Linked DNA regions of Arabidopsis thaliana. The protein of the gene in region 1 interacts with the protein of each later gene in a pairwise test. Each region holds a gene or a part of one and is shown in the gene's direction. Other genes may lie near its edges.

Evidence for each region.
Region 2: the proteins of LOV1 (region 1) and ERF1 interact in a two-hybrid assay, tested with the Arabidopsis thaliana proteins (one large-scale study listed by BioGRID).
Region 3: the proteins of LOV1 (region 1) and AT3G53310 interact in a two-hybrid assay, tested with the Arabidopsis thaliana proteins (one large-scale study listed by BioGRID).

What each region holds. Positions count from the first base shown.
Region 1 is NC_003071.7:645,516-649,275, forward strand, and holds the start of LOV1 (NAC domain containing protein 35), read left to right. Parts: upstream 1-2,022; 5' UTR 2,023-2,489; coding exon of another isoform or gene 2,490-2,528; coding exon 2,529-2,820; intron 2,821-2,962; exon of another isoform or gene 2,963-3,150; coding exon 3,151-3,419; intron 3,420-3,760. Other genes in the region: AT2G02455 (uncharacterized protein), read right to left, coding at 2,490-2,702. UniProt on the Arabidopsis thaliana protein: Transcription factor that acts as a floral repressor. Controls flowering time by negatively regulating CONSTANS (CO) expression in a GIGANTEA (GI)-independent manner.
Region 2 is NC_003074.8:8,293,458-8,297,105, forward strand, and holds ERF1 (ethylene response factor 1), read left to right. Parts: upstream 1-2,159; 5' UTR 2,160-2,247; coding exon 2,248-2,904; 3' UTR 2,905-3,147; downstream 3,148-3,648.
Region 3 is NC_003074.8:19,767,125-19,770,884, reverse strand, and holds the start of AT3G53310 (AP2/B3-like transcriptional factor family protein), read left to right. Parts: upstream 1-2,098; 5' UTR 2,099-2,516; coding exon 2,517-2,588; intron 2,589-2,988; coding exon 2,989-3,442; intron 3,443-3,525; coding exon 3,526-3,605; intron 3,606-3,703; coding exon 3,704-3,760. Other genes in the region: AT3G53320 (mediator of RNA polymerase II transcription subunit-like protein), read left to right, coding at 1-45, 291-438, 520-1,151, 1,300-1,488.

The sequences.
Region 1 (3,760 bases):
AATTAAAAGGTCTTAATTTTTTACAATTGCAAAAACTTTAAACTGAAAAAATGATTTAATCTTCTGGAATGTACATTATATAATATCCGCCACCCTACTTGCTACCCCTAGCTAAAAGCCAAACCGATGGAAGACTCGCTTGCATTAAATTATGCACTAGCTTAATCTACTTTTAAACTCTCTTATAATACATTTAATTCCTAATTTCTATCGCCATTTTATATTTTTACTGATATCAATATTCGAAGGGTCCATGCCTATGATTCCATGTCATACATAATATTTCCTTTCATACCTACATTCATTTTAATGAAAACCTTAAATATATATCCAAAAGCTATACATTTATGTAAACTAAACTGGTATAATAATTTTTGAAATATGTGTATGTCTACTGATTTACTATTTGATTAGTTCGTAGTAAATATATTATAAATTGTTTAAACATAAAAACAAAAAAAATCATGTAACTAGATAATTTTCTTGACGAAGATTCGAATTAACAACACAAAAAAGTTCATTTTCTGATATCGCAATGGTCTAATTAATGGTTGTTGAATAGTTTATCTTTTCCACGTTTCATAAGCTTTTTTGGTACGCGACATCCATATTGAAAAATGTCTGTCTACACTGAGCTCAATCCAATGAAATTTGTTGTGAATGAGATATATGCATTCACGGATTTCTAAAAAATATGAAGTCCATGACATCCATTGAAACATTTGACAAAATAAAAATATAAAATATGAAGTCATTACAACGTAGAGTAAGGTTTCTAAAAACCCCACTCTCGTTTCGTAGAAGCCCCACTACCACCTCACTTTAATTTCATTCATTATCTCATTTACGTTGATACTTTAAATTCATTTTTCCATATAAACTTGTAAGTATGAAATTTGTACTTAGTATATATTTTATCTATCTTTCCATGATGAACTTAAATATATTACAGTTTGCCTAGCCTTTTTAGCTCAGCTATATATATATATATATATGCTAATGTTGTTACGATGTTTATTGTTTTGTGTCTATATCTTATTTACTTTTTTGAATTATTAATAAAATGGAACAATTATACATATAGATTATAGATACATATATCTAAATATAATATATTGTATCTATATATATTAATACAAATTTTAAAGAACTGGCGGGTTTCTAAATTCTAACATATGTACTGTAAGTTCAGCTTCTTACTAAGTCATAGGAACATGGAGAGCGTTGGCAAAATCATGGTCAGTTTGTTTTGCATTCATAATTGAAGACATAGTAGTATCATGCAATGAAGATATGGTGGGCCAAATATATCATAAAAAAAATAGCGAAACAATAAGAGAACGTTCGTGAAGCTGAAGCATATGAAAAACACGTAAATATATTTATGACGAGTGACATAGTAAGCATACGTGATATTATTATTTAATTAGTAATATAGGCCACCAATCAGAATTCTTTGTCTCAACGATGAATAAATTAACTATAATAATCCAAATTTTTAACATTGTTTTAAGAATATCCGTTATTCAATTAGTCTACCTATAACAATGAATTATTATGGATCCTTTATCGCTATGCCTTGATCAGGAGAATTAGATTAGTTACACTTTCGCAATTTTTGTAGCGATGGATTGGAACAAAAACCAAAACAAAATATAGACTATTTACACATAAATTATACATGAAATCAACTTAATTTGTTATTCTCTAAAGTTTAGATTGTCTTTATAAAATACCAATCATATACCTAACTAAAACTAATGAATCTTTAACGTGCATGAGATGGTGCATGTGCAAATAAAACTATAAAGAAAACCATGATATATTTTTTCTAAGAATGATAGTTTTTGGGAATTTTAGACTTTCGGTCTATATTTTTCGTATGTCCACACCAATTGTTGATATTGCATTTAAAACATTAATTATTATTTTTTCCAAGTATAATTGAACTAGTAACCATGAGGTCCATGACATCCATTTGAAAGATGTCAATTCGTAATATTGTTTCAAAATATTTTTTCGTTTATAATACATAAACTTTAATTTTTCCTGTAAAAGATATCAACTGTTCTTTTCATTTGTGTTACAACCCAATAATTATTAAATATTTGAAACTTTAGTATTTAGAAAAAATACATAAAACTAATAGATAGATATTTTATTTTATTTTGAAACAAAAAGCTAGAAATGGAGAGTGAGAGAAAGGTCCAAAGGCACGGCTAAGAAAACAAAACCGTGGACACCCTGTCCTCAATTTGACAAGTCTTTGTCTCCTCCTTAACTCTCTTCTTCTCTCTCTTTGTCTTATTCTAGTTTGGTCTCAACTCCCAAAAACGATGACGTTTCATTCCTATATAGTCGTCCTCTCTTCTTCTTCTCCTCCTCTTATCTCTACTCAACACCACTCAATTTCATCTCTCTTTTTCCCTTCCATTGTTAGTATAAAAACCAAGCAAACCCTTAATCACTTTTCATCATCATATATCACCTTAATCCACATGCATACACATATCTAGTCTTTTTGATATATGGCAATTGTATCCTCCACAACAAGCATCATTCCCATGAGTAACCAAGTCAACAATAACGAAAAAGGTATAGAAGACAATGATCATAGAGGCGGCCAAGAGAGTCATGTCCAAAATGAAGATGAAGCTGATGATCATGATCATGACATGGTCATGCCCGGATTTAGATTCCATCCTACCGAAGAAGAACTCATAGAGTTTTACCTTCGCCGAAAAGTTGAAGGCAAACGCTTTAATGTAGAACTCATCACTTTCCTCGATCTTTATCGCTATGATCCTTGGGAACTTCCTGGTAAATATACATTCACATAAACACACATAAATCATCTCAAACTATTTGGAAATCTTAATTTCTATTCATATGTTAAGATCTTTCTTCTCTCTTATCACTTTCTCTCTCTATTTCTTTTTTTTTAACCTATATATGTACCTACCTCCTTATGAAGTATTACTATGTCGATCGTTAACAATTCTCAATATCTTTAAACGCTTCTCCCTCTTTAGTTTCTTTCTTAAATTAACCTAATTAAACAACCTACATATATATCATAAGATATACAAATATGTGTATGTTTTCATAATTAGCTTATGTATGTTTAATCATAGATATATGTATATGCAGCTATGGCGGCGATAGGAGAGAAAGAGTGGTACTTCTATGTGCCAAGAGATCGGAAATATAGAAATGGAGATAGACCGAACCGAGTAACGACTTCAGGATATTGGAAAGCCACCGGAGCTGATAGGATGATCAGATCGGAGACTTCTCGGCCTATCGGATTAAAGAAAACCCTAGTTTTCTACTCTGGTAAAGCCCCTAAAGGCACTCGTACTAGTTGGATCATGAACGAGTATCGTCTTCCGCACCATGAAACCGAGAAGTACCAAAAGGTATAAATTCTACTATAACTCTATATATATCCTATTCATACATACATAGATATAACCCTAGCTAGGTGGTGAGGCCTTTAAAATTGAAATTAATCCCTAGACAGTTTGAATTTTTTCTTTTTTGACTAGTTTTATTTATTTATTTTGGAATTGATTCGATAAGATCAAAAATACTTGTGAATGGACTAAATGTCAGGCGGCGTTTGCGCTTAAATCCAGAAAAATGTTCATGTCATATGCGTGAACTCTTTAAATTGCTAGACATGGCCCATATGTTATAGTAGAATACATTAATAGATAGATGCATACACATATATATAAACACACAAGTATCACACTCG
Region 2 (3,648 bases), on another chromosome or scaffold:
CACTGACCGAAGGGAAAATATTGAGGAATATAAATCATTTTAGAAAACTTGTTTATTTTTATATGAAGTATTAGTAATTATTCGAATAATTATATTATTATTTTTTGTGTCAATTTATGGAAATCATTTAGCAACTGATATCAAAAGCAATTATTCTTGGGTTACTTTTCTGATGTCAATATTGAAATCAATTAATTTATTCATTTTCGGTACGTGTAAGAAGTTTAAAGTATTTTACCACAAAAAAATGAAGTTTAAAGTAAAGCCAAAAGAGATACAATGTCCAGGTTTGAAGTTTAAAATAGAGCCAAAAACTTTGAACACGTGCGGGATATCAAATAATCAGTTATGCATAGTTTTGGATGGGCTTAAGAAAGAATAAATAATTTTGTGTCCTACTGGACTCAGGATGCATGTGATGATGTGTAGTGTTCTAATAGAATTTAGTTGCGTATCCGTTCGAATAATTATTTTCAACACCTCCTACTTTTGTTACATTGTTTTAAATGACTATTGACAAAATAAAAGTAAATGTAAATAACTAAAACAGAAAAGATGTGAGAAAAACTAGGAAATTCTTTTTTTTGAAGAATTATTAAATTTGCTAGATTTGGATAATCGATTCAACATTTGGAAAAGAAAAAAAATATCTAAGGATGGTTGAAAGATAGTTTATGATCAAACTAGCCAGGATTTTAGAGGGGTCATCAGTTTTCTGAACATTTATATGTTGTTTTCCGATAATACTATAAATTTGATCAACTAATTAGATGACTTAAAATAATGTAATTGGGATAATGTTTAAGAAAATATTAGGTAACTCATATAATTTAAGAGTTATAATTTGGTTATAATTTGCACCAAATTTGAAATATATTTCTACTATAAGATAACTAGAAATAGTGAAGAAAAAAACAAAGGAAACTAGAAAAAATGAAAAAATGGCACATGAAGTATCTTTTTTGTTTGAGAAAGAAGTTGAAAGCAGATAAAGCCAAATTATCTTCTAAACATGAGATGGCTCGAAATTATTTGTTGTTTGGGATTCAAGGGGGCATGTATCTTGAATCCTTCCAACCAACAATTTTCTTTAACCATGCTTTTGGCCAAAAGATTTTCTTTAATAATAATTAATAATAGCTTCCTAAGATTATAGGATAATGATTTGATATTTTATGTAATCATATTTGCAATACCTAAGCATGAAAATGTTTTGTTGAGTTGATCCAGCAGTTATTTTGGAATATGGCTTAATCATTTTCACATCGATCTTGTTATTTCTGTTCGTGAAATGTGAACTTTCGCAGTTATTTGTTTTATTCATAAGTTGTTTTAGATCAAATAAGTGGAGTCCACTTAGAAATTATAAGATGGGAATTTTATTTGCATATCAAAATTATCTATAAAAATTTTAGTCAACTGATTTTTAGTTTTCTACTAAAATCGCCATCTTATTTTCTTCTAGATTCAATTTGATCTGAATGTGGCATGTAGGTTGATAAAACTTATCAAATAGCATCAAATCAGTATTTTCTAAAACTTTTTACATCATCATAAATCTTTCACTTATAAAATATAATATCTTGGGTACACCAAAGTAATCCTGATATATACTACAAAATATAACATTTTAGTTGTTTTCATATGTGGTTAATCTTTTTTAGGTCGTACATGATTCATAAACCTTACCGTCATAAAAAGAAAAATAAATTATATTTAAACTAAGAAATGTGATATGATGCAAAAGTGACAAAATTTCGATGAATCATGTGATGATAATACGAAATGATATACCTAACCTACACTGCTCATTCTACATTTGAAGAATATATACCTAAATATACATACCAATTCTGGGATAATTACATAATATACAGTTTCATATTAGTCTCACGTAATTACGATTCACGACAGTAAGAAGATTAGTTTAAACGGTACAAAACAATTCATATATTACGAAAACATTAAATATCACACGAAGAGAAGAAATATGCAAAACGTCTTTGCTCGAATCTTCGACGAAGCAACATAGTTTTTCATTTGAGTGTAACATTATTTTTCGTAAATTCCCATTTCACCCTTTTATTACATGACATTTGTCTTTCACTGAGACAGTAAAAACTCAAGTCTAATTTGGACATTTGCATATACATACTCATTTTTTTCTCTATATATATAGACCATGTCAATCCACTAACGATCCCTAACCGAAAACAGAGTAGTCAAGAAACAGAGTATTTTTTCTACATGGATCCATTTTTAATTCAGTCCCCATTCTCCGGCTTCTCACCGGAATATTCTATCGGATCTTCTCCAGATTCTTTCTCATCCTCTTCTTCTAACAATTACTCTCTTCCCTTCAACGAGAACGACTCAGAGGAAATGTTTCTCTACGGTCTAATCGAGCAGTCCACGCAACAAACCTATATTGACTCGGATAGTCAAGACCTTCCGATCAAATCCGTAAGCTCAAGAAAGTCAGAGAAGTCTTACAGAGGCGTAAGACGACGGCCATGGGGGAAATTCGCGGCGGAGATAAGAGATTCGACTAGAAACGGTATTAGGGTTTGGCTCGGGACGTTCGAAAGCGCGGAAGAGGCGGCTTTAGCCTACGATCAAGCTGCTTTCTCGATGAGAGGGTCCTCGGCGATTCTCAATTTTTCGGCGGAGAGAGTTCAAGAGTCGCTTTCGGAGATTAAATATACCTACGAGGATGGTTGTTCTCCGGTTGTGGCGTTGAAGAGGAAACACTCGATGAGACGGAGAATGACCAATAAGAAGACGAAAGATAGTGACTTTGATCACCGCTCCGTGAAGTTAGATAATGTAGTTGTCTTTGAGGATTTGGGAGAACAGTACCTTGAGGAGCTTTTGGGGTCTTCTGAAAATAGTGGGACTTGGTGAAAGATTAGGATTTGTATTAGGGACCTTAAGTTTGAAGTGGTTGATTAATTTTAACCCTAATATGTTTTTTGTTTGCTTAAATATTTGATTCTATTGAGAAACATCGAAAACAGTTTGTATGTATTTTTGTGATACTTGACTTTATCAATTTCAAGTTAGTGTAAAAGTCTTTGTCTCTTACTATTCAACTAGTAAGAAAACTCTCATTTTTCTTATTTATCGTAATGAGGATTGTCTTTAAGCATGTGCTATTAGAGTATTCAAACATGTTTTAAGTTAACATAATAATTTTTTTGCACAAAGCCTACAAATAGTGTAAGATGGTCATAATCAATTGCTCATAACAATATACAAAGACAGTTCTTTTTATTGTTCTGTAATATATGAGTCCATGAGTATTGAGGAGCGACTCTATATAGTAGTATAATTTATTTTTGTTAATCATTAATTAGGAGCCACCTAAATGGCTAACTATAATAATGGAGTATAAGTTAAAGTGTTTTAATTTTGTTTCAAATAGACCACAACTGAAAAAGATGGTCAGGTAGTGTAATGAAAATCTTGACTTCTTTCGGATTAGGTGGCAACTTCTAGAATTTTTGTGCTATTTTACATATATTTTTAATTCATGATTTAAAGTAGCTATGGATTTTCTTGTGACTTTCTAAGGGAATTATCTAAGAATAATTGAATAAAAAAGATTTAAATATGCAGAAACTTGAACTTTTTTTTTGCAATGAGATG
Region 3 (3,760 bases), on another chromosome or scaffold:
AGAAATCCGAGTAGAGTACAAGGACCAGGGAAGGCAACCAAACAGGTATAGTATCTTCATTCAGTTTCTCAGGTGCATATTTATTAAATGGGCTTGTTTCTTAGTCTTTCATAACTAGAATAATGGTTTTTTCCTAGGTTTCCATTGGTAATGAGCTGGACTAATAAAATTGAATTGGCTCTGTTGAATCTATGAATCAGAAGCGTGTCATCACTTTTAATAGCTTACCCTATAGTGAACCACATAATGAATATATTGGATATTGTAAAAAAATAAAATATTTTCTGCAGCCTGTTGCTACAAGAGGTCTCAGTACATCCATTTCCAAGCCACCCAACGGACTCAGCAAAGTCAGGCCCTTGTCAACAACATCGACGAACAGGTCATCATTAGATATAAGCAAAACGCAACAAGAAAAGAATTCCAAATTACCTGCGGGTTAGTCAGAACTTGTTCTTAAAGAAGTTTACACTTGTTTTTTTAAAATTGAAATATATTGTATGACCTTGAATAGTACAGGTAAAGAGCCTCTGGGTCCAAGAATATCCATGTCGCGACGTGCTAAACCCGTCTTACCAAAACCTGGTGTGCCTTTTAAGTCTTCTTCACGTTCTTCAGATGCCTCAAAGAATGAAATGACCTCTTCATGTTCTTCACTAGAGAGCTGTGCCAGTGCTTCATCTAGCGCTTCTCACAAACCTTCTATAGATTCGATAAAGAAGAAGAATGATTCAAGTTCCAGATTATCTTCCCAGCCATTGGCAAATCGATCTACATCTAGAGGTATTATGGGCCAGCCAAGAATCCCACCCCAACAAACCAATAAGACATCCAAGCCCAAGCTTTCCTCCAGTGTACCAACTGCTGGTTCGATCAGTGACTATTCATCAGAGTCATCACGAGCTTCTGAAACTAGTAAAATGGCTAATGGTAACCAGAAAACAGTCTCTCGTGAAAAGGTTCCTGCAAATGATAATACAGTACAAACTGTGAAACCTCTCAAGAACTCCAAAGATACATCTGTTGTCCAAGCTGATGCTAAGGAAGGCACAAAACGAGTTTCAGCTATCAACGGTGGTTTGGTTCCTTCAGCTTCCGCAAAACCATCAGGTCTCCGTGTGCCATCACCAAAAATCGGCTTCTTTGATGGAGTAAGTCCCCAAAATTCATGAACAAACTAGAGACCAAATATGCAATTGTTGTTCCTTGAGATTGGAACCAACTGGCACAAGATCTGTTTCTGTCTGGAATCTGATCAAGTAAATGATGTCTCTATTTCTTTCTCTCTTTGTTAAACAGGCAAGACATGGATCATCTTCATCTGCCAGTAAGAAGTCTGGAGGAAAGACTCAACCTGCGAGGTCTCCAATACAAGAGTCGACGAATTCAAAAAGTAAGGCAAGTTCAAAGGTTGTCTCTGTCTCGTCTCCTAAACTGCCGAACAAATTGTATTCCAAAATCGATGCAGAAGATCAACTTGAGGGATGATGAGAATGAGATGCTTGAAGTTATCAATAGTTTTCTCCATGCAATGGAGCTTTCTTTTTTACAAATAGGAATTTCTCTGCATGTTAGATTCTTATGTATCCCATCCTCCAGAAAAAGGAAGCACATTATAAATTTGTGCGTAAAGAATCTTTAATCTAACGAGTTCTTGTATTATGAAATTTTACGAATTAATCTGGTTTATAAGATACTCTTTCTAATCGAAATGTAAATGGTTTAAATCTGAAAACAAAACAGTCCAATGAAGTATATAATAAGAACATGAAGTGAAAGATATATGAACGCAACAGTGGATAGAGTGGGCTACAATCTCACCATAGAAAACAGAACCAATCCCTGGCTTGCAGAGAATGATGTTTCATTCAAATCTATAAACAGAAGAACACGCAAACTTCGTTTTTCTTTTTGATAATTATTTCTCTTATTTACTGTATTAGAATATTGAATTCCTCACATGCATGCATTTTCTGTGTCATTTGTATAGATGCAAGAGTATTTGTGTGTTTGTTAGATAAATAATTATTTATCTAAAAAGCATTTGTAAACGTTTGAAAATATTAGCTTCACTTTAAAAACTTAAAGAGGTCTTGAATAACATTTTGGTTTATTGTTTTTTGTCAATTTAACAACGATAAGAGTTATTTTTGTTAAACGAAGATGAAAATGAGGAAGAAAAAAAAGAAATGAAAAAACAAAAAACAGAGGAAAGAGATGGAAATAGTCTCTGATTCGTAAGTACCGATCGAAAACAAGTTTCAGAAGTCAAGCACCAATTAGAAATCAGCTTCTCTTTTCTTTTTTACTAGAATTTATGGGTTAAACTGCAAAAATCATAAAGCTTTGAGATAGTACAGTACTCTGTTTTGTACAAGAACGCAGCAGAGGTCTTCTTTGACTCATTTCTCTCTCTCTTTCTCCTTTAAACTCTGAACCTTCAACGTTATCTTCCTCTCACTAGCTAAGAAACCCATTTCGATTCTCTCTCTCTCTCTCGTTTCCAACATCATTCCATGGCTGACGATAGCGAATTGTATCCTCGTTTCTTCAAAGTGTTCCTCGTTGAATCGGCTTCTGAATCGTTGGTAAGAACCTCTCTCTCTCTTTCTTTCTTCTTCCTTGTTTCTGTAGTAGGAAAAGTTTCAGACTTTGAATCTCAAGTATTAGTATGAAAGTTATGGCTTTATGAGAAAGATATAATCTTTAGCTAGTTTAGCAGTTGGGGTTGGGTTTACGGGTTTTCAATCTTTCTTCTGCTTCTAAACGGAAATGAGAAAACGAGCTGTGAAATTGGAAGTGATGAAAAACTCTGGATCTGTGTCTTTGTATCTCGTTCAATAAAGCATAGGTCAAAACTGTGACTGCTTAGCTTGAAACAGAGAGACTCTATGACTTTGATGACATTTTACTTGTGGAGTTGAGTTGAGTTTTGTTTTAAGTTGTAACAAGTAATCTGATGTTTGACATTTGTGTTTGGTTCATCAGATGATTCCGTTGCCTTTTATGGCATTTCTTGCTGATCCATTGCCAAAGACAGTGAAGCTCCAAGGTCTTGGAGGAAAACTTTGGACTGTGAGCTTGAAGAAAATAAGCGGAGCTGCGTATCTTACTAGAGGATGGCCAAAATTCGCAGAGGAACATGAGCTGAAGAACGGAGAGTTCATGACATTTGTGTATGATGGTCATCGTACCTTTGAAGTGAGTGTCTTTGATCGTTGGGGTAGCAAAGAGGTCAGAGCTGAAATACAAGCCATACCACTTTCTGATTCTGATTCTGATTCTGTTGTGGAAGACGAAAAAGACTCAACTGATGTTGTTGAAGATGATGATGATGAAGATGAAGATGAAGATGAAGATGATGATGGTAGCTTTGATGAAGATGAAGAAATCAGCCAGAGTCTTTATCCGATTGACGAAGAGACTGCAACCGATGCTGCAGGTTTGATAGTCTTTTTTCAAAAGTACATAAACATTGTTAATCCAAAAACACAATCTAATATACTAAAGATTGTTTTGTTTCAGTTTTTGAAGGGAACTTGGACGTGGAAGCTTTAACTAATCCACACTTTCCGACTACGCTCAAGAACAGGATTTATGAACTGGTAAAAGTGACGAATATAAGACTTCAGATTCAGTTACTATCTCTGTTTTACTTTCAGTATGGCTTTAACATGTTGCGGTGATTTTGTTTTGTGTGTAGTTGATCCCAGCCAATGTGGTGAAGGATAATAACCTTGAATTTGGTTCATCCATCAAG